Linked DNA regions of Tamandua tetradactyla. The protein of the gene in region 1 purifies or fractionates together with the protein of each later gene. This does not show direct contact. Links are inferred from orthologs where the notes say so. Each region holds a gene or a part of one and is shown in the gene's direction. Other genes may lie near its edges.

The links.
Region 2: the proteins of GOLPH3 (region 1) and FAM20B purify together in Homo sapiens (affinity purification with mass spectrometry; 3 studies listed by BioGRID and IntAct, with this or other methods). This does not show direct contact. The link is inferred for Tamandua tetradactyla from reciprocal best matches to the Homo sapiens genes GOLPH3 and FAM20B.

Annotation. Positions count from the first base shown.
Region 1 is NC_135335.1:81,768,491-81,783,990, reverse strand, and holds the start of GOLPH3 (Golgi phosphoprotein 3), read left to right. Parts: upstream 1-7,898; 5' UTR 7,899-8,230; coding exon 8,231-8,455; intron 8,456-15,500. UniProt on the Homo sapiens protein: Phosphatidylinositol-4-phosphate-binding protein that links Golgi membranes to the cytoskeleton and may participate in the tensile force required for vesicle budding from the Golgi.
Region 2 is NC_135330.1:33,276,079-33,292,238, forward strand, and holds the start of FAM20B (glycosaminoglycan xylosylkinase), read left to right. Parts: upstream 1-9,809; 5' UTR 9,810-9,982; intron 9,983-10,442; exon of another isoform or gene 10,443-10,568; intron 10,569-16,160. UniProt on the Homo sapiens protein: Responsible for the 2-O-phosphorylation of xylose in the glycosaminoglycan-protein linkage region of proteoglycans thereby regulating the amount of mature GAG chains.

The DNA of each region.
Region 1 (15,500 bases):
TCTTGTCTCTAAATTCTTTTAGTTTCAAGACTAACAAACTTGGATTGTGACTCAACTGGCACCATTGCCAGCCAGTTACAATTGTACCAGTTACAATGCCAAAGCTAAATGTCAATATGCAGGGGTTATGGCAGAGGGGTATGGGATTCATTATAGAAGAAATGGAAATGTCCTCATAAGGACTGCAGTGGTGAAGACATGGCTATGTGATTATACCAGGAGCCATTTATTTTTACTTACATTGGATTGTATGATGTATGGATAAAACTGTTTTAAAATGAATAGTGAGATACAAGTGCCAGAGAAAATGTGGAGAGAGATTTGTACCTAGTCACTGTTGGCAGGATGTAGAATGGTGTAGCTCTGCTGGAGGGCAGTGTGGTAGCTCCATAGGAGGCTACGGGTTTGGTTGCCTTATGATTCTGCAACCCTGTATTTAAATGTATACTAGGAGTAACTGAGGGCAGGGACAGGAATGGACATTTGCACAGAGGTGTTTATGGCAGTAGTGTTCCCATTTTACAATGGATGGAGGTGGCCTAAGGGCGCATCGACTGTGGAACAGAAGAGGAAAACTGTGGTGTATACCTACCATGGACTATTGAGCACCTTCAAGAAGGAATGAAGTTGTGAGGCATGCCAGGCCAATGAACCTTGAGGACAGTATATTGAATGAGGTAAGCCAGAAACAAAAGACAAATATTATAATGCCTCAGTAACATGGACTAACTGCAACGTGCAAACTCTAAAAGAATTGAATTCGAGAACATACATTATCAGGTGAAGGCTTATTGTGAAGTCTCCTAGATTGTAAGAATCATAGATTGTACAGCATCACATCTGTTCCAGAGTTGTAACTGTTATTTCTAAATTCTGAGATGTTGTGTACTTTGTGTATAATCTGGTTGTTTCCTACAACTTCAGGTATTTGTGGGACACCTGAGACTCACTGCTAGAACTCTGCAACCAGAAAAGTCAGCATTGCCCCATACAGCAACTGTTAAAAACAATGAAAAAGTGATCAGACTTCAACTAGAGATATGAATGAAGCTGATCTGGGTATGATTAAGGTAAATCAGACTACAGGGTAAAGGATGATATTGACTGTATTTTTTTTTTAAAGAAACATAATCGCATACAAATACATTCTTACCATATGACCATTCCATTCTTTATATAGAGTCAATAACTCACAATATCATCACATAGTTGTATATTCATTATCATGATCATTTCTTACGAACATTTGCATCAATTCAGAAAAAGAAAAAAAATAGAAAAAAATTCATACATACTATACCCCTTACCCCTCCCTTTCATTGATCACTAGCATTTCAATCTACTAATTTATTTTAATATTTGTTCCCCCATTATTTATTTATTTTTTAAATACCAAGAAACCCCAAACAAACACAAACATTCTTAACTTTTGATCATTCCATTCTACATATATAATCAGTAATTCACAATATCATCACATAGTTGCATATTCATCATCATGATCATTTCTTGGAACATTCACATCTATTCAGAAAAAGAAAAACAAAACAGAAAAAAATTCATACATACCATATCCCCCACCACTTCCCCTCACCAATCACCAGCATTTCACTCTAAATTTATTTTAACATTTGTTCCTCCTATTATTCATCTTTATTCCATATGTTTTACTCATCTACTGATAAGGTAAATAAAAGGAGCATCAGACACAAGGTTTTCACAATCACACAGTCACATTATGAAAGCTATATCATTATACAATCAATCATCTTCAAGAAGCATGGCTACTGAAACACAGCTCCACATTTTCAGGCATTTTCCTCCAGCCTCTCCACTACATCTTGACTAACAAGGTTATATCTATTTAATGCGTAAGAATAACCTCCAGGATAACCTCTCGACTCTGTTTGGAATCTCTCAGCCATTGACACTTTATTTTGTCTCCTTTCATCCTTCCCCCTTTTGGTCCAGAAGGTTTTCTCAATCCCCTGATGCTGAGTCTCAGCTCATTCTAGGGGTTTTCTCAATCCCCTTGATGCTGAGTCTTAGCTCATTCCAGGATTTCTGTCCCACGTTGCCAGGAAGGACCACACCTCTGGGAGTCAAGTCCCACACAGACAGTGGGAGGGTAATGAGTTTGTTTGTTGTGTTGACTGGAGAGAGAGGCCACATCTGAGCAAAAAAGAGGTTCTCCTGGGAGTGACTCTTAGGCCTAATTTTAAGTAGGCTTGATCTATCCTTTGTGGGGTTAAGTTTCACATGAACAAACCCCAAGATTGGGGGTTCAGCCTATAGCTTTGGTTGTTTGCACTGCTTGTGAGAATATCAAGAATTCAACTTGGGGAAGTTGAATTTTTCCCCTTTCTCACCATTCCCCGAAGGGGACTTTGCAAATACTTTTTTATTCACTGTTCAAATCACTCTGGGATTTATCGGGGCATCACTCTGAACAAACCAAGAAAATCTCATGTCCCACTCAAGGTTCCATGTACTTATGGTGTTCAATTAAGCTGTCTAGGTAAGTTATATTAGGAAATGCACTAGTCAAAATATAAATTTTGCACCAAATAAACATTTTTTGCTTTAGTCTCACACATAAGGTAAAATTTTAAAATATTAATTACCATCTATTTTCGGCACCCTGCAGTAATGACATTCCTTTGTTCTTCCTCATGCAAAAACATTTTTAAAATTTGTACATTTAGTAATTATCATTATACACTCTAGGCATTCCTAGATTATACCATCTCAATCTTTATCGTCTTTCTTTCTGATTTCATTTGTGCCCCCAGCCCTCCTCCCTCTATCATTCTCACATTCAGCTTCATTCAGTGTTTTAACATAATTGTATTACAGTTAGGTAGTATTATGCTGTCCATTTCTGAGTTTTTACATTCAGTCCTGTTGCACAATCTGTATCCCTTCAGCTCTAATTACCCAATCTTGCACTATTTCTACCTCCTGATGGTCTCTGTTACCAATGAAATTCTCCAAGTTTATTCACTAATGTCAGTTCATATCAGTGAGACCATACAGTATTTGGATATTGATTGAATTTTAAAACTTCAACATCTGTGTGAGACCAAAAGAAGAGTGGTTTATTTGGTGCAAAAATTCATATTTTCAATATCACGCTATCCAGTTTAACTTGTATGGTCAGCTTCTTTGAACATCATAATTACATGGAACCATGAATAGGGAGTGAGAACTTGTTGATTTGTACAGGTTGGTTTGACACTTTGATATATCCCAGAGTAATCTTGGCAGAAGATTAAAAAGTATTTACATAGTCCCCTTGAGGGACTGAGGGAAAAGGTAGAAATATTAAATTTCCTCACTTGGAGAAGACCTGATACTCTTGCAAGCATTGACGACTGCCAATTTGATGAGCCAGGGCTTAGATCTTGGGGCTTGCTCTTTTGAAATTTATTCATGCAAAGGAGAAGCTAAGCCTACTTACAATTATGCCTAAGAGTCAACTCCAGAGACCCTTTTTTTTTTTGGCTCATATGTGGCCTCTCTCTCTCTTAGCCAACTCTGTAGGAGAACTCACTGCCCTTCTCGCTACGTTGGACATGACTCCCAGAGCTGTAAATCTCCCTGGCAGCTTGTGACATGACCTTGGGGATGAGCCAGGACCTGGCATTGAGGGATTGAGAAAGACTTCTTGACCAACAGCATGAAGAGAAATGAAATAAAATAAAGTTTCAATGGCTGAGAGATTTCAAAGAGTGTTGAGAGGTCATTCTGGCATCATTCTTATGCAGAATACAGATAAACCTTTTCAGTTTTTGGTATATTGGAGTAACTAGAGGGAAATACCTGAAACTGTTGAACTGTGTCTTAATTTGTTAAGCCTGCTAGAATGCAATATACCAGAATTTATTGTTACAAGTTTACAGTTCTAGGGCCATATAATGTCCAAACTAAGGCATACAGATAAACATACCTTGACTCAAGAAAGGGCCAATCATGTTCAGGTTTCTTTGTCAGCTGGGAATGCACTTGGTGATGCTTGCTAGCTTTCTCTCCAGGCTTCTGATTTCAAATGCCTTTCCCTGGGGACGTTTTCTTTCTTCATCTCCAAATTTCTCTGTATGTGTCAGCTTTGAAGCTTTTTCCAAAATGGTTCCCTCTAAAAGACTCTAGTAAGCAACCCTACCTTAAATGAGTGGAGAAACATCTCCATGGAAACCACCTAATCAAAAGGTCCTACCCACAACTGAGTGGGCCGCATCACCATGGAAACAACTTAATAAAAAAGATCCCACCCTACAATATTAAATCAGGATTAAAAAGTATGGCTTTTCTGGGGTACACATTGGTCTCAAACCAGCACAAACTGTAATCTAATAGCCTTGATTCTGAAGATTATTAAATAACTATACAGCTTTTAAGATGTGACCATGTGACTTTGAAAACCTTGTGACTAACACTCCCTTTATCCAGTGTATGGAAAGGTAAGAAAAAAAAGTTAAATAATAGGGGAGAAGGAAGTTTATTGGAGGTTTGGGTGTTCTTTTTTACTTTTATTTTTGATCTTATTTTAATTTTTTTGGAATAATGAAAATGTTCAAAAATCAATTGTGATGATGAATGCATAACTATATGATAATCTTGTTAGCTGCTGACTGTACAGTTTGGATGATTAAATGGTAAGTAAATATATATCCAATAAAATTGCACTAAAAAAACTAACTGGATTCTTGAATCCACTGTGAACACACTGTGCTTCGTTGGGCTTTTGAAAACAAAAATCTGACAATATCACACACACACACACACACACACACATAACATACGTACACACTTCTCCCTTCCTTATACAGAGGTTTTAAAGGTATCCTTTTAAAAAGGATACTTTTAAAAGTACCTTCCCTTTTTGTTTTCGGATAAAGACTAAAATCTTATAATAGCTGTATTAGTCAGGGTTCTCTAGAAAAACAGAACCATCAGGAGATATGCAACTCTGGGAATAGAAGAGTCCAAAATCCATAGGGCAGGCTGTGAAGCTGGCAGCTCCAATGAAAGGTCTGGATGATCTACATAGAAGAGGCTCACTGGCTGAAGAAGTAGTGAAAAAGTCTTTCTTCTCCCTTAAAAGCCTTCAACGGATTGGATTATGTCATTCATGGGAGGCACGTCTTAGTTGACTGCAGATGTAATCAGCAACAGATGCAGTCAGCTGACTGATGATTTAATACACCAGCCTTCCAGTTTATCAACAAGCCATGAAATATCTTTGCAGCAATGGTCAAGTCAGTGCTTGCCTGACCAGACAACTGAGCATCATCACTTGGCCAAGGTGACACCAGAACCTAATTCTCACAGCACTGCATGATTTAACCCTTATCTGTAACTACTGTAATGCTGACTTTCATAACTTCAGTGCTCTGAGTCTCACTTGTCACATATATACCCGAAGTTCCAGAGAACAACCAAGTTATACACAAATAGCTCAGTATCTCAGAATTTAGAAATTACAACTCCTGAATAGAGCTTACAATCTAGGACTCTTTACAATAGGCCCCCACCTGATAACCTATGCTCTTGACTTCAATTCTCCAAGTTTGTGTATTACAGTTGGTCCATATGAGTGAGGTATGATACTATTTGTCTTTTTGTTTCTGACATTTCATTCAAAAGAGTGTCCTTAAGTTTCATTCACCTAGTTGCACACCTCACAACTCCATTCCATCTGTACGGCCTTTCATGACCTAGTCCAGGAGTCATGCACAGACTTTTGTGTTATATTCTGTTCATTTCTAGGAACTCAAGTCTGGTCCCCACTCAAGGGGAGGAGAATTCCACTCCATCTTTTTTTGTTTTTAACATATTTTATTATGAAATATAACATACATGTATACAAACACACATATATATATATAGCAATAAATTTTAAAGTACATTGAATCAAGTAGTTACAGAACAGATTTCAGAGTTTGGTATGGGTTACTGTTCCACAATTTCACACTTTCCCCTTTAGCTGCTCCAAACACTGGAGACTAAACTAAATATCAATATAGCAGTCATACTCAATTCGCTAAATCCTATCTTCTCTGTTATAACTCCTTCTTTGCCTTTGATCCTTCTCCCAATCTTTAGGGGTATTAGGCTCTCCTCAATGTGTTTCATGTTGGAAAAGGGTGTTGATAAGGGATGGGGGAGAGACGTAGTTGATGTTGTTGAAGAGGCTGGCACCTCTGGGTTTCAGGACTTATGTGGCTTAGGAACACATCTGGAGGCTGTAGGTTTCTGGAAAGTAATCTTAGTACCTCAAACTTTTGTAGAACCTCAGATGGAGCCCTAGGTGTTCTTTAGGATTAACAGGAATGATTTTGATTGGGTTTGCCAAACCACGGTAATTAGTAATATCTAGCTAAAGCTTGCTCCACTCCACCTTTTGAAGGGTGCAGTATCAAAGAACTAACTGAACTATTTTAACACTACCACAGAAGGAGTCACTGGGTGAAAAGGGGCAGGAAGAGGAGGGAGATTTTCATTATACATTCCTAAACTCTTTGAACTGTGTAAATATATTAATTAGTCAAATAATTAATTGATGCCATAACTATAAAAGCACCCAGTATTTTAAGCCATTTGGGAAAGAACTGGAGCAAAGATGAATGAAAAAGAGAGCTCAAGAGAATGTGAATGGGAGAAATTGGCTGAGATGATACTGACCTTTGCAAAAGGGTGTGTATACTTTGTGCACATCCTGCTCCCCAGGAGGAAGAGATTTAGCATTCTCACCTGGCAGGGTAAAGGGTGATAATGAGTTCTGGATAATGGGTTTGTGGTGGGGGAAGCACCATGCAGCCAGCAATTCCTATAGGCCTGTTTATCATTCAGGGGGGACCATTATCGTGTAAGTCCTTTTACAACAACAGTTTCATTTAAACCATTTTCTAGCCACAGCCTACGGGCATTGTTTATCTTAAATAAAACTGGATGGTATATAATGTCGTTTCTGGATACTGTTTTACTTACAAGTGTCACCTTTTTACCCCTCAAACACCCTCCCCGCCCACGCTTCCAAGTTTGACATCTATTCTTTAACATAATTGGCGCAAACTGTCAAGCATGCCAAGAGGATTTAACCAAGTAATTAAACTGAAAGATTCAATGTGTAGAAAGACGTGGCATGAAACCCAACGGGTTTATTGTCTCTATAAAAGGATCGTTAAGGTCGAGTGTATTAACGCGGTACTAAATGTACTCATTGCGCCCTGGTCACTACACAGCACACGTCGGTAAGCAAGGAAAAGTTTAACAAAGAAAACTATTCAATTTGTCCTAACCTCTCTTTTCATACAGTGATGCGCCTAAAAACACTAAAAGTCCACCTTAAAACCATTTGTGCACAGTAGCTTCTTTTGGAGGATCAGTAAATCTGGGCGGAGAGCGCGGCCTCTCCTTAACCCTTAGACCGCGCGCTTAGTCCTTCCTTGGTCTTGGGCGGGGGTGGGGGTGGGGGTGGGGGTGGGGGTGGGGGCGGGGGTGGGGGACGGGCGGTTCCGGGACTGAAGCTCTAGCCCTGCCACCCCGGCGGGGGATCCAACTCGGAAGACTGTGTTCTCCGGAGTTCTAGAAACACAACTCGAGTCTGGCTGAGCAGTGTCCACCCTCGCTTGCCCCGATTGTGGGGACGCCTTGCCCGTCTTCCGGCCCCAGCCAGGAATGGTGAGGGGCTAAGGAGGAGGCGGGCGGAGGGAGGACGCGTTACCGGTAGGGCGCGGCAGGCCCGGGGGCAAAGGAACGCCACGGAAAAGGAGAGCGCGCGCCGACAGCCCGAGGCCGAGCAGCCGGGAGAGGGCAGGTCCCAGTCTTCTCCCGTCGTGGGGTCCCGCCCGCCGCTTCCGGCGCTCTCAGGCCCGCCCCGCGCCGCCGACACTGCCACATACTCCGGTGACGTCAGCCGATGCCGCCATATTGGGCAGGCGCCGCCGCCGCCGCCGCCTCCTCCGCCTCGGAACTCAGGCTGCCTCGGGGGCTGGGGCCGCAGGAAGGAAGGAGCCCTTCTCCCCACCTACCAACGACACTCGTCCCGTCCGCTCCCGCCGCAGCGCGTCTCCCCATGACTGCTCCCGGCTCCGCTGCCGACGGACGTCGCCCCAGTGCTCGTTTATAACGCGGAAGGCCGGTCGGGGGCTGAGGGAGGAGGAGCAGGAGGAGGAGGGAACCCCGGTCGGTCCCTCGTCCTTCTCGGCTCGGCGCTGTGGCCGGAGCCATGACCTCGCTGACCCAGCGCAGCTCGGGCCTGGTGCAGCGGCGCACCGAGGCCTCCCGCAACGCCGCCGACAAGGAGCGGGCGGCGGGCGGCGGCGGCGGCAGCGGCGAAGACGACGCGCAGAGCCGCCGCGATGAGCAGGACGACGACGACAAGGGCGACTCCAAGGAAACGCGTCTGACCCTGATGGAGGAGGTGCTCCTGCTGGGCCTCAAGGACCGAGAGGTGCGGGCACGGCGGGGCGGGCAGAGGGCGGCCGGTGGCCCGCGGGGTCCGGGCACCAGGTGGGAGGCTCAGCTCGAGCTCCGTGCTTCTGCCGGGTGAGCTGCCAGCTCGGCTCCAGCCAGCATCAGACTTGCACCTGGAGTGTTGGAGTTAGTAACTGCTCCCCCCCCAATCCCCCAGCCTGGCTCGGCGCTTTCCCGGCCTCCTCGTGCAGATGCCTTGGATTTTCCCTTCCGCCTTTCACAGTCACTTCTGCGATTTCAACAGCAGTTTGTATTTCTGTCTCGCTTTTTTCCCGCGTGTTCAACCCGTGCAGACCCCAAGATGTTAGAATGAAATACCTGGTACCACCAGCGTCCGGACCTCGTGGGTTTTGCAGGTTTGACGGCCCGGGAGGGGTCCGTGGATTTGCTCTCTGGGGTATTATTATTTTTTTAATCAAGGAGTAGTGTTTGGAATTATGAAAATTTTGGTGATATCGTAATTGGGAAAGTATTTTTTTTTACGTGGGCAGGCACCGGGAATCGAACCCGGGTCCTTTGGCATGGCAGGCGAGCATTCTTGCCTGCTGAGCCACCGTGGCCCGCCCGAAAGTTATTTTTTTGAGTAAAGTTAAAATCAAGCAAAATTCTCATGGATCCTGAAAAATAACTTTCTATTTGAACTTGCATTAGTTGTGAGATTACTTTTAGTGGAGCTTTTATCAATTGACTGGTCTCAAGGAAGGCTTACCGTTTTAAGGAAGGGCCTTTTCGGGGAGTGTTTGAAATGGTAGGTTTGTAATTTGATGAAAGGCCTCAATTCCTTAGGTAGGTTAAATTGCGAAAGATAGTTCTTCTTACCTTACAATAAAATGATTATCATCACCCCAGTTATTGCACCCCTCTGCGCTGCAAGAAAAAAAAAAAGCTACAGTTTACACTTATTCACCTCTTAGATTCAACAGTTAATATTTTACTGTATTTGCTTTATCCGATCTTTGTTCTTCCAGCTACAAAATGATTTTTAAAGACAAATACACCCGTTTTCAGACGTTGAATGAATATTCCATAAATTAGTAATGGTGAGGTGGTCCCAGGAGCTTGTGGAAAGTTGAGAATGTGGAGCACGTTTTGAGAGTCAAACTCAGAAGTATCTGTTTTGTTCTCTTTTATTTTTAAGAAAGTTTTCCGAGTTCACCGTAGGTGGGCACAGAATTTCAGCATTGTAAGAAGCTTCCTATTTCATTGAAACTTCTTAGATATTGATGTTGTGGTATATATTTGGAAATCTCATGAATTGAAATAGTTTTCCTTGATGAAAATGTCCAGAACATTCGTAGTATCTTGGTATCCCATTCGCCCAGGTGTTTCATCACTTTGAAAAAAGTTGGTATATTTCAGTCCTTCTGACTGTGAAAGGGATCCAGTACCTGTTTAATTACTGAGTCTTGATGATAGAAGGGAGACAGTATATGAAATTCCTCTTTTGTTCTGTGAATGAAAGCGCAAACGAGAACTACAGTGATCTTCTGATGTGATATTAGAAAGTATTTAACTTACCTTTTTAGGTGTCACAATTTGGAATCTTGGTGATCAACATTTTTCTATGTCTTTATTTTTTTCCTTTGGGACAAAACTTCACTGTAGAAGTTTTTGAAAATACAAAACAAAAGAACACAAGTCGCCCATATTCCTGAGCAGTATTTTTGGTTTATAATTTTTGACACTTTTCTGTGTGGATCCATCTTGTGTGTGTGTAAAACTAAAACTTAAAGCAAAAACTAGCTTTTGAGATCTGAGTCACGTAAGTAGAAATTATGATAAGAAAATACCTTTTTTTTTTAAAAAAAAAGATGAGTTGTGTTTGTGTCAGGAGTCACTATATGTTGCACGTCCTGGCTAAGTTCCAGAGTCTAGATAATTCTGAACATTTCTTGCTGATTTACAACCACAGTATGGAATTATTTTTTTTCTTCTTATACAGGCAAGCCCAGGGAGTGGGGACTTTGTTGAGATTTTGTATTGCTTTAGATTTTAGTTTCAGGAATTTGCCTTTTATTTTTTCCTTTCGTCACATCTTTACATACTCATATCAAGTCCTATCAACCCATCATCTATTCATGTGTTTTTCTCCTCGGGAAGATTTCCCCCCATGTTTTTAACTTGTAACTGGGAGTTGTTCTCTTACCTAGTGTGTAGGCTTTTATGCTTGTTAGTATTAAATACTAATTTACTAAATTTTATACTAAAAAGTTCCAAACTTTAGCCATAATATATAACTTAGTAAACTCACTGCTTTAACTTTATTTTAACTTAGCATCCACCCATGTAGTATCTGGGCACTTTTAAGATACTTAAAAGTTAAACCTTAAGGATAGGCAGGTCATTAATGTTGGACAAGTTTTGTATATGTGGGAGTTGACCTTATCTGAAATGAAGACAAGTAAACGTTTTAAGAGGAGTTATGTAATGGCAAAATTAATTTTACTTTGACGTTTTAAAAAGCTGACACTTATCAATTTATTTTTTTTTTGCTTTTAAAAATATATATATTTGAAGAATAATAAACTTACTAAAAAGTGTGCATTATCCTAAGTGTGATGAATTTTCACAAGCTGTGCACACCCATTTAACCAGCACCTAGAGTAAAAGACACCATGGCCAGCTCTCCAGAGGCCTTACTTGAATTACTTTCTAGTCACTACCTGTTCTTCAAGTGGAACCCTTGGCCTGACTTAGAATCACCGTAGATTAATTTTGCCCGTTTTTGTATACTTTCTTTTGTGTTTGGCATTTGCTCAAATTGTGAGATCTTCCATATCATTTTTTTTTATGTTGTGAGGTGGTTATTTACTTATTCTCACTGTCTATCAATTTACTTTTAACACATTTATAATCTATAATATTTTAAAAATTACTTTGATTTTATCTTGAATCAAGTTAAAAACTTTTTTCTCCTCTTTTACTGAACAGAAGGCTCAGTTTGCCAATAAGTAGATCACCAGCTTTCAGATTACCTATTGGGGTAATTGTGATTGATTTTTAAAAATTTAAGTAGCATATCAGATTTTTACCAATCATTTCCTTTCTGGCTTGTATAAAACACAGAAACTTGAGCCTTTCGTTATTCTGATCTCAGTTGGAGTGAAAAATTGATGACATAGGGTATCAGTAGATGATAATGAAAAGGATAGTAGGTTTAAACTTGAATTCACCTTCTGAATAATTGGAATGATTTCTGTAATCTCTCCTGTGTTTGAAGAGAAGGGACAGCAGAAATGCCAGGTATTTTCCTTTCCCCAACTATTCGTTTTTAACAAAGATGTTTCCACTAGTCAGAGCATTTTTAGATTGCTTCATTGAGAATTACCTTAAATAACTGACATTTACTTTTGAAAATTTTCATTGGTGTCAAGTCCTGGTCCTTTAAGGTTGGGTTTGATTATTTTAAATGACCAGGTAGAATTTAGAATATGTCTGGTGGAATAGCAAAAATGCTAAGAGACTTTGTCTGAGGTGTAGCCTTTGTTTTACAGATTATTTAAGCTTTCTGAGTCTCAAGAGTTCTCATGTGAAAATGGAGAAATAGTCTTCCCACATGGTTGTTCTGTCTGTGTGTTGGAGAAATTTGTTGTTTTGCTCTCCACCATCACTCCGCTTGTTTTGTCTTGGTTTTAGGGAGTTCAGCCTCAGGGTGCCCTGTTGCAGCATCTCCTTCCCTCTTGAAGTGCAGTCAGGCTTAGACTTTTCCACTCAGGTGATTTGAAAGAGTCACAGACTGTGGTGATTTTGAAGACCTATTCAGAGTGGTGTAGTATGTGGACCAGACTGTTTTTGACATGGCTCTTTGTGCTTCTTTCTCTCTAGACTGCTGGCTTGGTCTTTCTCCATCCTCATTTTCCAGATGCCTTTCAATTTTGTAAACCTCAAGAGTCTTCCAATAAAGTTCCTTTTTTTAAAAGATGGCTAGAGTCAATTTCTATGGTTTTTTTATTAAAAATTTTTTTTTTGCATGGGCAGGCACCTAGAATGAACCTGGGTCTCTGGCATGATAGGTGAGAACTCTGCCTGCTGAGCCATCGTGGCCTGCCCTCTAATGGTTTTAATGCTTGCAGTCAAGATCCTGTATTTTGAAAAATGAGTAGATGCTCCAAGCCAGCTAATACACACTTAGGGTAAGCAGTTATTTTTAACTAAAATGATGGAGTTGATTTTGTGTGACTTTTAAACTGGTTCCAAAGATCATTCCCAAAGGTGTATTTCATTTTTGGAATAAGGATCCCAAGGTTACTACTAAGAAATGCAATACTTATCAGGATCTTTAACTTAAAAAAAATTTCTTTACTTTCTGCATTTGCATTGATATACACTCTCTCTGCATATCAAATCTATAAATGAGGAATTCATTCAACATTTATTCAGCGTTTCAAGATGTGCTAAGATTTAAAGTGTAATAAAGACTTCTGAGTTTTGAAAGAATGTCATGAGTTATTTTGTAATACAAATATTGCCTTTATATATATATATATATATTTGCTTATTTATTTATTTATATATATTTTAAACATGGGCAGACACCGGGAATCGAACCCAGGTCTCCGGCATGGCAGATGAGAACTCTGCCACTGAGCCACCATTGCCTGCGCTCCCTTCATATACTTTTTTTTTTGTGGGCAGGGCCATGCTCCTCTGAAGGCTCTAGGGAAGAATCCTCCCTTGCCTCTTTTTAATTTTTTATTAATTAAAAAAGATTACAAGAAACACAAACATTCCCAGCACATACACTCAGCAATTCACAATATCATCACATAGTTGCATATTCATCATCATAATCGTTTCTCAGAACATTAGCTTCAATTCAGAAAAAGAAATAAAAAGACAACAGAAAAATATAACAAACAGAAAAAAAAAATTTTACATGCCATACCCCTTATTGATCCCTTTCATTGATCACTAGCATTTCAAACTAAATTCATTTTAACATTTGTTCCCCCTATTATTTATTTTTATTCCATATGTTCCTCTCATCTGTTGGCAAGGTAGATAAAAGGAGCATGAGACACAGGGTTTTCACAATCACACAGTCACATTGTGAAAGCTATATCATTATACAATCATCATCAAGAAACATGGCTACTGGAACACAGCTCTACATTTTCAGTCGGTTCCCTCCAGCTTGTCCATTACATCTTGGATAACAAGGTGATATCTACTTAATGCATAAGAATAACCTCCAGGATAACCTCTCGACTCTGTTTGGAATCTCGCATTCATTGACACTTTGTCTCATTTCCCTCTTCCCCCTTTTGGTCAAGAAGGTTTTCTCAATCCCTTGATGCTGGGTCTCAGCTCATTCTAGAGTTTTTCTGAATCCCTTGATGCTGAATCTCAGCTCATTCTGGGATTTCTGTCCCACGCTGACAGGAAGATCCACACACCCTGGTAGTCATGTCCCACGTAGAGAGGGAGAGGGTGGTGAGTCTGCTTGCTGTGTTGGCTGGAGAGAGAGGCCACATCTGAGCAACAAAAGAGGTTCTCTTGGGGCTGACTCTTAGGCTTGATTTTAAGTAGGCTTGACCTGTCCCCTGTGGGGTTAAGTTTCATATGAACAAACCCCAAGACTGGGGGCTCAGCCTATAGCCATGGTTGTCCACACTGCTTGTGAGAATATCAAGAATTCAACTTGGGGAAGTTGAGTTTTCCTCCATTCTCACCATTCTCTGAAGGGGACTTTGCAAATACTTTTCCACTCACTGATCAAATCACTCTGGGATTCATCAGGGCATCACCTGGACAAACCAACAAAATCTCATGTCCTATACAAAGTTCCATGTACTTAAGGTGTTCAATCAACTATCTACGTAAGTTGTATTAGGAGATGCACTAGTGAAAGTACAGATTTGTACCAAATAAACATTTTTTGCTTTAGCCTCACACATTAGTTGAAATTTTAAAATATTAAGTACCATCTGTTTTCAGCACACTGCAGTAATGACATTCTTTTGTTCTTCCTCATGCAAAAACATTTTTTAAATTTGTACATTTAGTCACTATCATTATACACTCTAGGCATTCCTAGATTACACCATCTCAATCTTTTTTTTTTTTTTTTAACATGGCCAGGCACTGGAAATCGAACCCGGGATCTCTGGCATGGCAGGCAAGTATTCTTGCCTGCTGAGCCACCGTGGCCCGCCATCTCAATCTTTATCATCTATCTTTCTTTGTGATTTCATTTATGCCCCAGCCCTCCTCTATCATTCTCATATGCAGCTTCATTCAGTGTTTTAACATAATTACATTACAGTTAGGTAATATTGTGCTGTCCATTTCTGAGTTTTTATATTCAGTCCTGTTGCACAATCCGTATACCTTCAGCTCCAATTACCCAATATCTCACCCTATTTCTATCTCCTGATGGTCTCTGTTACCAAGGAAATATTCCAAGTTTATTCACTAATGTCAGTTCATATCAGTGAGACCATACAGTATTTGTCCTTTTGTTTCTGGCTAATCACACTCAGCATAATGTCCTTAAGGTCCATTCATGTTGTTACATACTTCATAACTTTATTCCGTCTTACGGCTGCGTAATATTCCATCTTATGTAAATGTCACAGTTTGTTTAGCCAACTGTCTGTTGATGGATATTTAGGCTGTTTATATCTCGGTAATTGTTAATAATGTTGCTATAAACATTGGTGTGTAAATGTCCATTTGTGTCCTTGGCCTTGTGTCCTTTGAGTAGAGGCAGCATATAGATGGGTCCTGCTTTTTAACCCATTCTGCCAGACTATGTCTTTTGATTGGAGAGTTTAATCCATTAACATTCAGTGTTATTACTGCATGGGTAGTACTTTCTTCTACTATTTTGCCTTCTGCATTTTATATGTCATATCTAATTTTCCTTCTTTTTACCTTTACTCACAGTCTTCCTTTCTACACTCTTCTCCACACCTCTCCTGTTTTGTATCTGTCTCTCATGTTCCCTTTAGGATTTCTTGCAGAGCTGGTCTCTTGATCACAAATTCTCTCAGTGATTTTTTGTCTGCAAATGTTTTAAT
Region 2 (16,160 bases), on another chromosome or scaffold:
ATTTGATAAGCGATTTGAGATCATCAATGCAATTTATGAACCTGCGGAAGAAGAATGTGAATGGAAACCAGATGAGGAAGATGCGATTTCGGAGGAACTGAAGGAAAAGGCCAAGATTGAAGAGGAGAAAAAGGATGAAGAAAAAGAAGATCCCCAAGGAATTCCTGAATTTTGGTTGACTGTTTTTAAAAATGTTGACTTGGGGTGGGCCACCGTGGCTCAGCAGGCAGAGTGCTCGCCTGCCATGCCAGGGGATCCTGGTTCAATTCCCGGTGCCTGCCCATGCGAAAAGAAAAAAAAAAATGTTGCCCTGCTCAGGGATATGGTTCAGGAATGTGGTGAACCTATTCTGAAGCACTTGAAGGATATTAAAGTGAAGTTCTCAGATGCTGGTCAGCCTATGAGTTTTGTCTTAGAATTTCACTTTGAACCCAATGAGTATTTCACAAATGAAGTGTTGACAGAGACATATAGGATGAGCTCAGAACCAGATGATTCTGATCCCTTTTCTTTTGATGGACCAGACATTATGGTTTGTACAGGGTGTTCAGATAGATTGGAAAAAAGGAAAGAATGTCACTTTGAAAACCATCAAGAAGAAACAGAAACACAAGGGACATGGGACAGTTCGTACAGTGACTAAAACCGTCTCCAATGACTCTTTCTTTAATTTTTTTGCCCCTCCTGAAGTTCCCGAGAGTGGAGGTCTGGATGCTGCTGCTGAAGCTATCCTTGCTGCAGACTTGGAAATTGGTCACTTTTTACATGAGCGTATAATCCCAAGATCAGTGTGCTGCTTTACTGGAGAAGCTATTGAAGATGATGATGATGATGATGATGATGAAGGTGAAGAAGCAGATGAGGGAGGGGAAGAAGAAGGAGATGAGGAAAATGATCCAGACTATGACCCCAAGAAGGAACAAACAAAATCCAGCAGAATGCAAGCAGCAGTGAAGCCGGGTGTATGTGGCCTTGCGGATAACCTGCCCTGTAATAGCCTAAACACGACTATTATTTACTTACAGCCTTATGTTTTGCATTTTCTTGGTAGACTTGGTAATTTTTTTTTAAGGAAAGGAACTCATATTTTTGAAGACCAGTTTGTTCTACCTAGCCTTTTAACTATAGTTTTTCTGTCAGATATGTTGAATGCACAGACTCTCTCAAACATGTTCATTAATTATTTACATAGTTTGGTTCTTGCAGAGGGTTTTTGTCCTGTAACCATTAAAGTACAGCTATGAAATTTTTTAAAAAAGGGGAAAGATTTAGGTAGCATATATGTGGCTAGAACAACATTTTTTTAAAAAAAAAACCACAGGACTGTACGGCGCAAACAGTGTATCCTGATGTAAACTATAGACTATAGTTAATAGTACAATTATAATAACATTCTCCCATCAACTCTAGGAAAGGTAGCACACTAATGCAACATGTTAAAAAATGAGGGTGGGAATATGGGAACTCTATATATTCTGCATGATCTTTCTGTAAAACCTACAACTTCTAATAAGAAAAGAAGGAAAGAAAAATAATACAGGCACTTTACGCTGCCATGATGCCTCAGCATCTGAGACCCTGTAGTTAGGGCCGTCAGTGACCACCACTGAGACCAGGGCTTTGCTGACCTCCCTAAAAATCTCTGCATACTCCCTGCAGGGTGCCGTGCATTCCTTCCCCTTGGTACTTCCCTGTCCAGGGCTCATACATTCCCATTTCTTCCACAGGGCCCCTAGTGCACAGTCCTGGTAGTGAGGAAAATGATCCAGATTATGACCCCAAGAAGGAACAAAATCCAGCAGAATGCAAGCAGCAGTGATGCCAGATGTATGTGGCCTTGCGGATTGTTTATATCCTTCCTCGCTGGACTCCTGCTGTGTAAAGCACCTCGTCCTCCCCTGCTCTGGGCCACCTCCCTGTTCCACAAGCATCTACCTTCTAGGATAGAGCCACATACTGCAGGCTTGAGAACCAGATTTCAACCCATAGATGTGTTTCATTTGGCCCACTCTATATTTGAGAAATAGAGTCTTGAATGTAAACGCCTCAACTTGAAGATGGGGCCAGGTTGTCTTTTGATTTGTGTTGTGTCCTTAACACTTCCGGCTCCGTCCTCCTTGGCCTGCTTTGCTCATTTCCCTTCAGAAGACATGGGCTTCCAACTGTTTAAGACTCACTGGAAAGAAAGCTGTAGAGGGTCTCGTCCTCCGAGGGCAGCATCTGACTGCACAGGCCACAGGCTTCCCTGTGACATCTTCTTACCCTTGCTCGCTGAAAGATGGTAGTTTAGAGAAAAATGACTGGTTTCCTGGTAGAGGGCCTTTCAAAAGACCAATCTACCTCCTGCCCAAAATAAAAATCGATTGCCCATATACTAGATTGGCCCATATGAAATTGCCAATATTCAACTGCTTCAGGCCTATAAAAATGGCAATTTCATGTGGTTCAATTGATTAACGTGATCCTGGCTTAATCCCTAGTAGAACAGAGGTTTGCAACTTTGGTTGCAAATTAGGATGATCTGGGAACTTTTTAAAACTTCCCTTGCCAGGACCCTACCCCAAATAATTAAACTAGAGTCTCCGAGGATGGGGTCAGGCATCGGGATATGCATAGGGATGTTTAAAAAACTCCCCTCCAGCCAGACTGAGAACAGCCGCTTTAGCCCATCCCTGAATCAGTCGTGAAAGAGGCTCAAAGAGACTTCTTTTACCAACTTGCTTTTGGATGATGGAGGCTTCCTGGCTTTCTGAGGAAGGTCCCAACTAAGAGAAGTTTGAGAAACCCAGAATTTCCATGTAGCTGCCAGTGCTGACCCACAAGTCTTAATTATTTCATGCATTAAATCAAAATAATAAAAACGAAAGATCTTCCATCCCACAAAGAAACTGTATTAAATTCCCACACATATGCTGTACCATCCTACGTATATTACGAAGTTACAGCCTTGTGGGAATGAGAGATCTGGAATTTGCAATATTGTCTCTGACAAGCCCATTGAAGAGCCTACTGTAATGAGAGAAAAGCACAATATACTGGAAAATATTCACAAACGTGGCCCTGGACATTCATTCAAGAGAATATACCACAACAAAATAGAGATTTTGGAACGGGCAATTACTGCTGCCACACATGGCGGTTAAGAGAGACACAGTTTGGATGAAAGTCAGTAGTACCCCAAACAGGAACTGTTTAAAAAGTTGAAAAAGTGATCAGACATCAAGTAGAGATATGAATGAAGCTGATCTGGATAGGACCAAGGTATATTAGAAGAGTGGATAAAGGATGATATCCTCCATACCTTAAAACTTCAACTTCTGTGGGAGAGTAAAGGGAGAGATGTTTATTTGGTGCAAAACTTATATTTTGGGTTGTGCATTTCCTAATTTAACTTGTATGGTCAATTTAGTTGAACACCATAAGTACATGGAATCTTGAATAGGGCATGTGATTCTGTTGGTTTGTCCAGGTTAGTGTGATGCCCCGATAAATTCCAGAGTGACTACATGGGACATGACTCCCAGGGGTGTGGACCTTCCTGGCAACGTGAGACAGAGATCCTAGAATGAGCTGGGACTCAGCATCAAGGGATTGAGAAAATCTTCTCAACCAAAAGGAAGAAGAGCAAAATGAGACAAAATAAAGTGTCAATGGCTGAGAGATTCCAGACAGAGTAAGAGGTTATCCTGGAGGTTAGTCTTACGCATTAAATAGATATCACCTGTTTAATTAAGGTATAATGGAGAGGCTGGAGGGAGCTGCCTGAAAATGTAGAGCTGTGTTCCAGTAGTCATGTTTCTTGAAGATGATTGTATAATGACATAGCTTTCACAGTGTGACTGTGTGATTGTGAAACCTTTGTGTCTGATGCTCCTTTTATCTACCTTATCGACAGGCGAATAAAACATATGGATTAAAAATAAATATATAATAGGGGGAACAAATGCTAAAATAAATTCAGTAGATTGAAATGCTAGTGATCAATGAAAGGGAAGGGTAAAGGGTATGGTATGTATGAATTTTTTGCTGTTTTCTTTTTATTTCTTTTTCTGAATCGATGCAAATGTTCTAAGAAATGATCATGATGATGAATATACAACTATGTGATGATATTGTGAGTTGTTGATTATATAACAAGAATGGAATGATCATATGGTAAGAATGTTTGTGTTTGTATGTGGTTATGTTTCATATATAAAATAAAATAATTAAAAAACAAAGAAACAAAATCCCAGAGTGATTTGAAATTCTCTCTCTCTTTTTTTTTTTGGCATGTGCAGTCTCCGGGAATGAACCTGGGTCTCCCACATTGCAAGTGAGAATTCTACCACTGAGCTACCTTGACATCAACCACTCCCAGAGTGATATGGACAGTGAATAAAGAAATATTTGCAAAGTCCCCTTGGGGGAATAGGGAGAAAGGGGGAAATTTCAACTTCCCCATTTAGAGAAGTTTTTACATTCTTGCAAGCAGTGGAGACAACTAAATCAACAGGCTGAGCCCTCAATCTTGGGGTTTGCCCCTATGAAACTTACCCCTGCAAAGGACAGGCTAAGCCTACTTGAAATTAGGCCTAAGAGTCACCCCCAGCGAACCTCTTTTGTTGCCCAGATGTGGCCTCTCTCTCTAAGCTGACATGGCAGGTGAACTCACTCCTCTTCCCCCACCACGTGGGACATGACTCCCAGAGGTGTAAGTCTCCCTGGCAACATGGGACAGAAATCCCAGGGTGAGCTGGGAGCCAGCATCAAGGCATTGAGAAAACCTTCTTGACCAAAAGGGGGAAGAGAGAAATGAGTCAAAATTAAATTTCAGTGGCTAAGAGATTTCAAACAGAGTCGAGAGATTATCCTGGAGGTTATTCTTATGCATTATATAGATATCCCCATTTTAGTTTGTGGTATATTGGAGTGCCTTGAGAGAAGTACCTGAAACTGTTGAGCTGTGTTCCAGTAGCTTTGTTTCTTGAAGATGATTGTATAATGATACAGCTTTTAAAATGTGACTGTGTGATTGTGAAAACCTTGCATCTGAAGCTCCTTTTACCTAGGGTATGGACAGATAAATAAAAAATATGGATAAAAAAAAAACAAATAATAGGGGAACAAAGGTTAAAATAAATTGAGAAGCTTGAAATAACTAGTGGTCAAGGAGAGGGAGGTATGAGTTTTCTCTTTTTTGTTTCTTTTGCTGGAAAGTTGCAAATGTTCAAAAAAAATGATCATGGTAATGAATACACAACTATGTGATGATATTGTGAGCCATTGATTGTAAACCATGTATGGAATGTATGTTTGTCAAGAATGTTTGTATGTTCAGTTTTTACAATAAAAATATTAAAATTAAAAAAAGCGAGAGAGACACAGCTTGGAGAACCATAACTCCTTTGCATTCTTACTAACTCTAGGATTAGTGTTAGTTTAAAAGATCAACCTATCCCTTTAATGTATTTGCTTTTGCTTTAATGAGCAGATTTGAAAAAGAAACTAAATAGATGCATATTTTTAAAAATAGAAAAAATAAGGCCCTATTACTTTCTGAAGCAATGAAAATATTCTAAAATTAGACTATGGTGATGGTTGCTCAACTTCATAAATAAACTAAAATTGTACACTTTTAACAAGTGGTTTTTATGGTTTGTAACGTATATCTCAATAAAGCTGCTTTTTCTCTCTCTCTTTCTCTCTGACAGCTATATACACATACATAGTAGAATGAGAAAAAAATAAGTGAAGGATGTCCACCACTTTCAGAATATACATCCTAAATTTCTTGGTAGAGAAGCTGGTTCTGTGTTTGCGTGTTTACGAGGTTTATTATGCTGTCACTGGGACTTGAAAGGTTCACTAAGTTGGCACCGACAGAGGTGCCAGGTAAAGGGTTAAGTGGGCAGTCCCATTTCTGTAAGGGCTGGGCGTAGCTCTGCAGAGGGTGTGACAAAACAAGAGAAAGGAGTTTGATCAGGTAGGAAAGAAATACAGAAGCAGCTGTCCACAGTGCCGGATGCAGAGAATAAACCTGCCTGGGTTGGAGTACCGGGGACTGGGACACAACTATGGCAGAGGACATGCTCCTGGAAACGGTGTCATGTGCTCCTTCACTTACTAACCAGCCTGGCCACCCTCTCCCAGGCTCCTAGCACCCTGGAACAGCCTAAGCTTTCTTAAAACTCTGCTCAACTTTCTTGATGTAGAATTAGCTTAATTAGTTTCAGTGGGATCCATCGTTGTAGGTGTATTAATGGGGTTAAAAGAAGCTGTCGATATGTTTATGTCTGTGTGCAGGTGCCGTGAGACAGCATTCCCCTTATTCTTTGGGATTGCCAGACTGTTATTTGAGTCCAGGGGCTTGAAAATTTGGCAGGAACCTGGAAATTCTGAAATCGTTTAAAGAAAACACCTTCAATGACAAAGTGGCTAAGAAAGAAACCTGCAGCGCTCCTAGTCTCCCACCCCAGTGGACCTGTTCTCCTAAAACTTTTCTTTCAAGTGTTGCATGTCTAACATGTATGATATATAGAGTTAGCACTACAGAAGATGTATATGTGAATAAAATATACTCCTTGGCCTCAGGGGCTTACCATCAGTGGAAGGGGAGTCAGGGCCTTTTCCCCAAGGCCTTCGATATAAATGATATCACAGGAAAGATACAAATAGAGTGCTGGGTCTCAGAAGTGGAAGAAAGAATGCACAGTTGGAAATGGAAGGAGAGGTTTCCTGAGCAAGTGGCTTTTGAGAGATACATAATCTTTTTCAGGTGGAGGTTGGAGTTAGGGGTGAGGTGTGAATCCAGGAGAAAGAATGGGGTTGGGGTGGGGAAAAGGGATGTATGCAAAGAACAAATGGAAAGGTGGAGTGGGACTGTAAATGCTAAGTGGAAGAGTTTCTACTCAATTCCGGAGGCCCTGGAAGGTTCGGCACTGGGGGGTAAGAACCATGATTCCTCTCCGAGGAACCCATTTTGGCTGGAGGGGACTAGCCAAAATACTGCCCTGGTTTCAATTCAATGCACTTCAAAGCAGGAGTATGGAGAAGGTACTCTGAGAGAGGCATTCCACCGAAGGAACTAAAGAAGAAATTAAAGTCACAGTCTGTATCCTTAAAAGTCTTGCAGCTTGGGCGGGCCGCGGTGGCTCAGCGGGCAAAGTGCTTGCCTGCTATGCCGGAGGACCTCGGTTCGATTCCCGGCCCCAGCCCATGTAACAAAAACGGAGAAACAGAATACAATAAAACAAGAAAATGTTTAAAAATGTTTCCCTTTCTTCCTTCCTTCCTTCCTTCTATCCTTCCTTCCTTCTCTCTGTCTTTAAAAAAAAAAAAAAAAAAAAAAAAGTCTTGCAGCTTGGGGACTGGGGAGACAGGGAAAAAGGAGAGATCAGGCAAAGACTCCTAGAATCACAACACATCACACAGTGAGGCAGTGTCATGAAATCTTGACAAAGTACTCAGCCTCTCCTAATGATGCCTCTGCCTGACCTTCCTTTCCATTTCCCAAAACTGGACTGTAAGCCTCTCAAGGAAGGAGACCAGGCCGTCTTCATCTTTGTATGGCCCCAGTGTAGCTCAGTGCCTGACACTTGATGGACATTCATGAAATGAATGAATGAACAATTCTCCCATCATGCATCATCTGCTGCATGTCTGTCTCTGAATTCACATCGCACTACCTGACTTTGGCTCATATTCCATTTTTTTCTCCCACCCATACTTTGTTCACCTCAAGCTCTCTACTTGACAACACTAGCTCACACCATCTTCCTAGACTCTGATTCTTTCAGGGATCACGGAATCTGTGCTGCATAATTTAAGTGTACCATGTTCCTTGCAACTGTTTCCTGTGTGCTAGTCATGCAAATCCTTTCAAGGTAAAGTCCTTGTCTTACATGATGGCATTTTTCAGAATACCTAGAATATATTGACCATTGATTGGTTGGAAAATAAGACTCCTCACAGGAAGAGGGGAGAGAAACTAAGGTCATGGAGCATCAGACACTGTGCTGTGCTGTGCTGTGAATATATTCACTAAGAGCCTGGTGAAGAGAAAACCGGGGAACAAACAATATTGCTGTCCAAACCTTTGCACAGAGATCTTAAACTCATGACTCTTCTTCTCTAAGAACAGAAGATGAGGAAGGTGTCTGTCCTGCCGCATGTAATATGGACCTATTAAATACTGAACTTTTTTTTGCCTAGAGAGCCCATGAACTGTCCTCTCTGAAAGTTCTTAAAGACAGAGGAGCCCATCTGTCCAGGAAGCTGAAGCCACAAGATAGTTTTCTGACCAGTGACAGCTGGAAAGTCTACCCTTGCTGTTCCTGTCAGCCTTATACGCAAGAAAGTAAAGTCTTTTTGGAAGAGTGTCTTAGAGGAGACTTTGATTTGCCCTTTTGTTTCACGATCTCCTGATGATAGTGAGCAAGGTTCAGGAAGATTAGCTGACTGCAAGCAGATCAATGCTCATGTGTAGCTAAATAAAGTAGACACTTATTACCATGCAGCTCATTTTTCCATGGTTTACGTATTCTGTGGTAGAAAATGACCCTCAACTACATCCAGTAGAAGAATGATACAAAGCTCACCCCTTTCTAGCAGTGATTAATGCTTCCTATAGAGGAACTACCCCCTAACTTGATGGGCTGGGGCCAGAGTCAAATCCAATTATTTTTCTAGAATCTTCTGATTCAATAAATACATAAGTAAGCAACATCTAACATTGCACAACAATTTGCCATGTACTTTCTGTGCATATGTCCTAATTTAATCTGCATGAAAACCCAGTGAAGTAGGTACTACAATTAACTCTCATTTTTCACATAAGGAAACAAATGCTCAGAAAAGTCAAGTGGCACATCCAGTATCATACAGCCAGGAAGGAAGAGTTCTTTTCACTCTATCCTGATGCTTAAATTAACTACACAGTCTGAAAAAATGACAGCGTGATCTTTCCCCTCCCCCCATTATACATCTTATCCCATGGAGCAACGAGCATTCTAATACTCCTGATCAGGCACATCTACAAATTTAGCAGATGGTAAATGAATGAATGAATGCTTTCTACAGTGGATGCACTATATGGAGTCAATTGGGACAAAAAATTAAGGGGAAGGAGAATCTTTCAAGCTATTTATTAAGACCTACTGGGTGCTGAGCATTGGAGACCAGACACCAGTGTCCTAGACTAGTGCAATAGATAGAAGCTGAAAACGGATAATATAGTAAACTAATCACTATTTCGTTAAATACTCCTAAAAGCATGTATCAGGGAGCTCCGCTCTGGTCTGAGGAAAAAGAAATCTGTATTCAGTGGATGACAGGTGGCCTCTTTCAGGCAAGAGGGATACATTTATACAGGCAGAACCTCCAGGCAGAAATCCGAGCAAATAAATGAAAGGGGCAAAAGGAGAGAAATTGCCTCTCATAAATAGCACTTGGCCTGGGCAATCCCAAATGTCCAGTCCCGCTGCCTGGCTACCTACCTGCTTAAGAAAAGCAGGAAGGGAAAAAGCAAAGGCAAGAGAGAGGTGAAAGGCCGATTGATGTAAGCAGGGCGGGGCGGGAAAAAGAAGGTAAGCGTGAGCTGAGAGAGTTAAGCGGCGCCAAGCCGGGATGGAAAGGGTTAAGGATGGGAGGCGGTGGGGGGGGGGCCGAACTGCACAGAAATGGCAGACTCCGCCCACCGGAGGACGGGGGCAGGGCCGCGCCGGTTGAGCCCTAGGATTGGTCGCCGGGAAGGCGTTACGCTAGGACGGTACCAACGGTGGCGGGCTGAGGAGGTGGGGGTGGGACGGTCGGCTCAGCGCCCGGAGAGGTGGCCTAGGAATGGCCCGGCCGGAGGTGGGCGGGAGCCGCAGTGGCGGTGGCGGCTGGGGGCTGTGAGCGCGGCGTACGGCTGCCCCTTCCCGGAGGCGGCGGGGGCGGCCGGGGCCGTGCCGCAGGGCACGGCACGGCGCGGGAGGCCATGGGGCGAGCCTAGAGCCCGCAGGTGAGCGGCGTGGGGACGCGGGCTGACGCGGGCTGACACGCGACCCCCGCCCGCGGCCGCGGGACGGGATGGTGAGGGCGGGCACGCGGGCGGGGTGCGGTGCGTGGCGTGCACCGGGCGGGGGCCGCTTGAGGACGGAGCGCCTCCCAGAGGGGCCGAGTTTCCGTACCCCCAGCGGTCCCTGAGCGCTGGCGAGCAGGTCCGGGAGGGATCCCGTTGCTGCCTCAGAGACCGGCCCCATCGGCTTCGGGGTGGCCTCCCGCGGACGGTCGCAGGTCGCTGCTGAAGGGACGCGGCCTTGGCCGCCGTCTCCTGGGCCCGGGACGTTGGTGAAGCTGCCTTACTTGGGGACACCTCGGGTCGCCCAGGTCCTGCTAGTGACTAGCTCTCGCCCCTGGGCGGGGTCCCTAGAGCCGCCTGGCCTGGGTGCCACCCTCGAGGTCCGCCGAGCGCCCGTTGCGGCGGCCCGGGGAGGAGCGCGCGCCCGCCTGGTCCCTACCCGGACCCCCTCGTGGCCGAGAAGCGCGAGTGACCTGCAGGCCCGAGGCGGGATCGACAGTGCCTAAGGGTCCGCGGTGTCCTCATGGTGCGTCCCCCCTCAGTCGGTCACAACTTAAGGAAATGATATGGTACTCCAAAGTGGGTTGCGCTTGAGATTTCATTTCCGGGTGCGATGGCCCTGCGATTAAAAACGGACCAAAATGTTACATTAGTGATGAATGTGAACAGTTGTCAAGCTGTGTCCTCGATTGTGGGGTCTGATAAAAGAGTCATTCTAATCAGGCTTCGGTTACCTGCAAGTCTCCTGGTAGGGACGCAAGGGGTTGAAGGATGTTGGAGGGAGAGTGGGGGGAACAAGATTGGTCCTTATGGAATTATTACTTAGTTTTTTTTTTTTAAAGGCTGTATCACCATTTGGATGGATGAGTTTATAATTTGGGAAAATGAGAGATGCTTAATACTACGACTTCAATGAGTCTAGGTAGGGCCAGGTGTCAGTATCATTTCCACCCAGCCAACTTCTTCCTGGAGGTTTGGTTTCTCACCTTCAAAAGATGGGGTTGGACTGTGGGGTCTTTTAGCTTTTAAATCTAAGACTTTACACATCTCTGATTGGTAAAGTTAAGATTGTGGTTTATTAGCCATGACTCTCCTCCTTGACTCACACATAAATTTAATGGGGTTGTATTATTTTCATGGGGTTAAGAGACCCCAGTGTGCTGCATATTATGAACGTTCCTGGAGTTTAAGCGGAGCCTTTGAGCTAAGGGACTGAGAGCGCTTCCATATATATTGTTATCAGGACATGCCTTTGAGGCATTGAGGTATAGGTGTTAAAGGTGCTGCTAAAAAAGTATTTGCCTAGACTCTGCTGTTCCAAGGCAGATTTACAATTAAATTCGTGTTTTACAGTAATAACTTTGCTGAAGTTCATGAAGATGTTGGACTTTGGCCCCTAAAACCATACAATGGAACCAGTCAACAGGAGGCCTTTCCACATTTTAAAGTGCTATCAAAGAAAAATAAATAGGCACAAGCACATAATTCAGACTCTCACTCTCACTGCTAAATAAAGTGCTGACGTATAAATGGATGGAGGTAAACAGTGATAAGGAAATCTTGGAGTTTGAATCTTTCCTTCTCCATGACTGGTGAAAATGTAACATCGATTCTTGTGTTTGTTTCTCTGGATTAATACAAATAGCAGTTTTTTGGTTAAAGAAGACAAACACATGCACTGCTTTTCTTTCTGGGTACTTTGGATTAAGGAACAAACAGAAATTTCAGTTTCTGTCTTTATTTTTTCATAATCCTTTATATAATGGAATTATGTTATTACATGATTTTTAGTCCATTCTCTTGATTTCCATTTGTAGAGACTCCCAACACAGCCTTGACATTTCTTCATTTTAGCTTTTCTGAGTTTTGAATTCCTGAATGAAATTCTCTTAGTTTACTTTCAGTACAGCCTTCAGCTTCCTACACTTTGGGTGACTATTATTTCATTGATATAAACCCTGAAGCCATATACTTCAGCTCTTTAATTGATAACTTTTTAGAATAGCGAACCACAGTGGTTGTCTCTTGGTAATTGCTGCAGTCTCATAATAGAAGCAGGAGGCTGGCTGCACTATGTATTCTGTGGTAACAGTAACAATAAAAAGGAACCCATTTTCTGAAGCTTGATGGCAGGTCATTCTTGGGATTAAGTGCCAGGTGGTTTTGTGATTAGAGTAGGGAGTACGGTAATTAGTACATTTTTATTTCGTACCTAGCAGTGCCTGTGCGTAGTAGGTATGTAGGAAACATCTGTTAGTTGAAAGAATAAATGGAAAACAGTATGAGGGAAGGACATATATTCTAGTTTATATTCTAAATTGTTTAGCTCTGCTTTTTGCCAAAACAAAACCAAGAAAATGTGGTTTGAATTCCTGATGAAAATATTCTACTGAGATGGGTATATATAAAGGCTGGTACTTGCTGGAGCTGCCTTGAGAATTAATTCTATGCATGTAGAGTATTCTAGCCACAGTCAGGTCTAGGAACAGCCCTTGGTGCTCAGGTAAGGTGCAGCTTCACACCCTTGCTCCTTTAGCCTGCCTTTGCTAGGCTAACTTAGCAGTCAGTATTTTTGCATTAATAGAAGAATCTTTGGCTCATCAGTAGAGTTGACCCTGACTGCTCATCTACTCCTTCACGTTGAGGGTAGGAGAGGAGAGTTATCCTTCCTGAAGGTGCTTATCCAGCAGCTCCTCCTATATGTATATATCTTTTCCTCTTTTCTTTCCTTGAGCTTCTTCAAGGATGCTACATGAATTCATTAGCAGGGACCTAGGATGTAGAGAAGACGACCTTACTTTGCAACTGAAACCCAGCTTCTGACCACTTACAATGTCAACATGGCTGCTGGAACCACCTAGAAGAAAGTTGTGCAGGTTTAAATCTGTTGTGGATCCCAGAAAAGCCAAGTTCTTTAATCCTCATTCAGTATTGCTGGGTGGGAGCTTTTTGATGGTTTTCATGGAGATGTGACCCACCAAGTTGTGGGTGATAACTTTTGGTTAGATGGTTTCTGTGGTTGTGTCTCCACCCATTCAAGGTAGGGTTCGTTATTAGAGCCCTTTAAGAGGGAACCATTTTGGAAAAAGCTTTAGAGCCACAAGAGCCAACAGAATGGACAAAGCCTACACAGCCAGAGACCTTTGGAGATAATAAGGAATATGCCCCCGGGGAGCGTCATGAAATAGGAAGTCTGGAGAGAACGCTAGCATATGTTGCCGTGTTCACCATGTGCCTTACCAGTTGAGAGAGAAACCCTGAATGACATTGGCCTTCTTGAGCCAAGGTATTTTTTCCTGGATGCCTTAGATTAGACATATCTATAGCCTTACTTTAATTTGGGCGCTTACACAGCCTTAGAATATGTGAGCTTGCAACTTAATAAATTCCCTTTTTAAAAGCCATTCAGTTTCTGGTATATCGCATTCCGACAGCTTGCAAACTAGAGAAGAAGTGTAATACAAACATCTCACTTCTTACTTTGTCTTTCTTAACAAAAACAAAAGAAGTGCCTCACTTCGGACCTGGAATCTCGGGATGCATTGGTCTTCTAGTATGAGATGAGAAATGGAGGCTGATACAGAAAAGAGCATTGAGTTTTGGTGCATATTTGGGGTCTGTACTTTCCAGCAAGGTAACAGCCCTAGGGAGACATGTATTAATTTGGAGATCAAGGAATGTGACATTGTGAATATGTAAAGAGGACAGAAACAGATACAGGTGAGGCAGTAATGTCTGTCATTCCATGCTCTTAAATGTTGACTTTCTGATTTATGCATATAGCAGTGTTTCATTTCTCTAATGTTAGGAAATAAGAGATTATGTGCCAAAATTCTTATTTTAACTACACTTTTGTAGAAAAAAATTTTATTGTATTACATACTTAGTTTTCTTTTAAAACAATATAGTTTAATCTTTCTTTTAGACTCAGGTTAGGATTACTAGCATCCATTACTGTTAGTAATCAAGCAATACTTTGAGGTGATTGAAATATGAATGCAGTTTGACCCCTCTGCTTTTTGTCTTCTTGCATCTGCTTTTTATAGTAAGTCTTTCTCTTTTTTCAGCAGTGGGAATGCTGCACTTTTGTTGTTGTTAGTATCTTGATGCTCCCTTTTTTTTTTTTTTTTTTTTTGCATAGGCAGGCACCAGGAATCGAACCTGGGTCTCCAGCATGGCAGGAGAGAATTCTGCCTGCTGAGCCCCCGTGGCCCGCCCTGCTGCCCTCTTAAATCTGCAGCTTCTGATCTTCTGTGGAGTAGGGACCAATTCTGCTTCCTGAAATTGAATATAAAGCAGCTATACAGCTAAATAGAGGGTCTGTTGGCTTTTCTCTGAGTATCAGCATAAGAACTTTATAACTACTATTTTGACTGCCTACAGGCCTTTTTTGTTCTTTTCTTGTTTCCCATCCTTAGTTTAGATTGCGAATTTGTACTCTGTCTAGATGCATTTATATTCCTTCTGTAGAAAAAAAGAAAATAGTATGGAAGTACCAGTGTTGGTTCTTATTTCAGAAAGCATTGCCAATAAATAATCCTTGAAGATCTGGTTCCAACCCTGTCTTATATCATTCTTGGGTAGTGTATTGGATCATATCCATTCCTCTCTGCTCCCTGTCCCAGACAACTACAGGAACCAGGTTGACAATAGCAGTGGCCTTAAAAAATGGAAGAAGGGTATGCAGAAGGCAGCAATTTTAAATTGTATAATGTTGGTATGCATGTAAGATCTTTCTCTATTTTTTGCTGTATTGTATATCCCAATTAGTTATAGAGCTTAGTTTCCCGTGTCAGTAACAGGGGCCTTCTTTAAACCAAAGAATTAACATTTCAGAAGAAATTCTTACAACATAGAGGTCTCTCTATTACTTCACTCCTTTTGTTCAACAAGCATTTATTGAGTACCTCTCATGTGTTCTGCACTCTGCCAGGTTACTTGGAAATACAAAGAATAAAACATCCCCCCCTGCCCCCCCACCCCCATCCTCAAACAGCTTACAGTATGATAAAAAAGACAGGCATGCTGTATATTCATTTTTATATTACAACAAAGGGATCATGTCTGGTGCATAATTTTAGCACAGACCTGCTTGGGGTACTGCTATTTAGAAAGTGATCTCCTGTGGCCTATGTAGCTTGAAACTCCCTAGAGCACAAGGTTAAAAATGTAAGGTGGTATTGCATAAAGCTTATATACCTTTCCAAGAGCTGTAGTGAATTGAATAGTAAAAATAGAAGGTATGCAAAAATCTGAAGGAAAATGTTATATTCTTCGAATTCCATTTTTCTATACTGTACAAAAATTACGTTCTATAATATAACCTTAAGTGATGGTTATATACTTACAATTGAGTAGGAAATGCTTAGAACTTAGGGTTCTCCATTATACCTGGCCCATTTAAAGCAGAAGGCAAATTCTTAGGCATTTCCACAGTTTCCAGATCAGTGAACACTGCCTGTGTTGGTTTTTTTAGAACAATCCTTGTGAGCAGTATGAGTTTTAAATTTTTTATTTTCATTTTTAAAGGAGAAGGGTTACCACATCCCCATTCAAATCTCCTATTTGGCTAAAAAAATAAAAAATAAAAAATAAAAATAAATAAAAAAATGAAGAAAAGGAGAAGGGTTAGAATTGCCCTAGATCAAGGTTTACATAGGACAGGGTACAATAATTAATATTTTTTTCCAGAACTTAAACACTGTTTATTGCCTCTTCCATTTTTAATCTCACACCACAAAAAACGGCTCTCTTAAAGCTTCATTAGTGCCTAGTAATCATTTTAGTTGGTGTCCTTCACAAGAGACTGTTAGAGGATTTCATGTAAGGGACGCTGTGTTTACAGGTATGAATAAATGTTTAAGTGAAAGAGAAAACAATGAAGAAACTCTAATATTAGGAGCAATTTGAACTATATGGGAATTAGATTTTTTAAGCCAGTAACTTTAAGTTTAATATAAGGCTTTTAAGAGCTTTTAAGACATGCAAAACTGCTATGTTTGAAAAACAGAGTTAATTTTCCAAATTGAAGAATATTGTGAAGGACATTATATTTCAGACTTTTTCCTGATGTGGAATAAATTCATGCTTTTCATCTGTTCCATTTACATTGAATGTG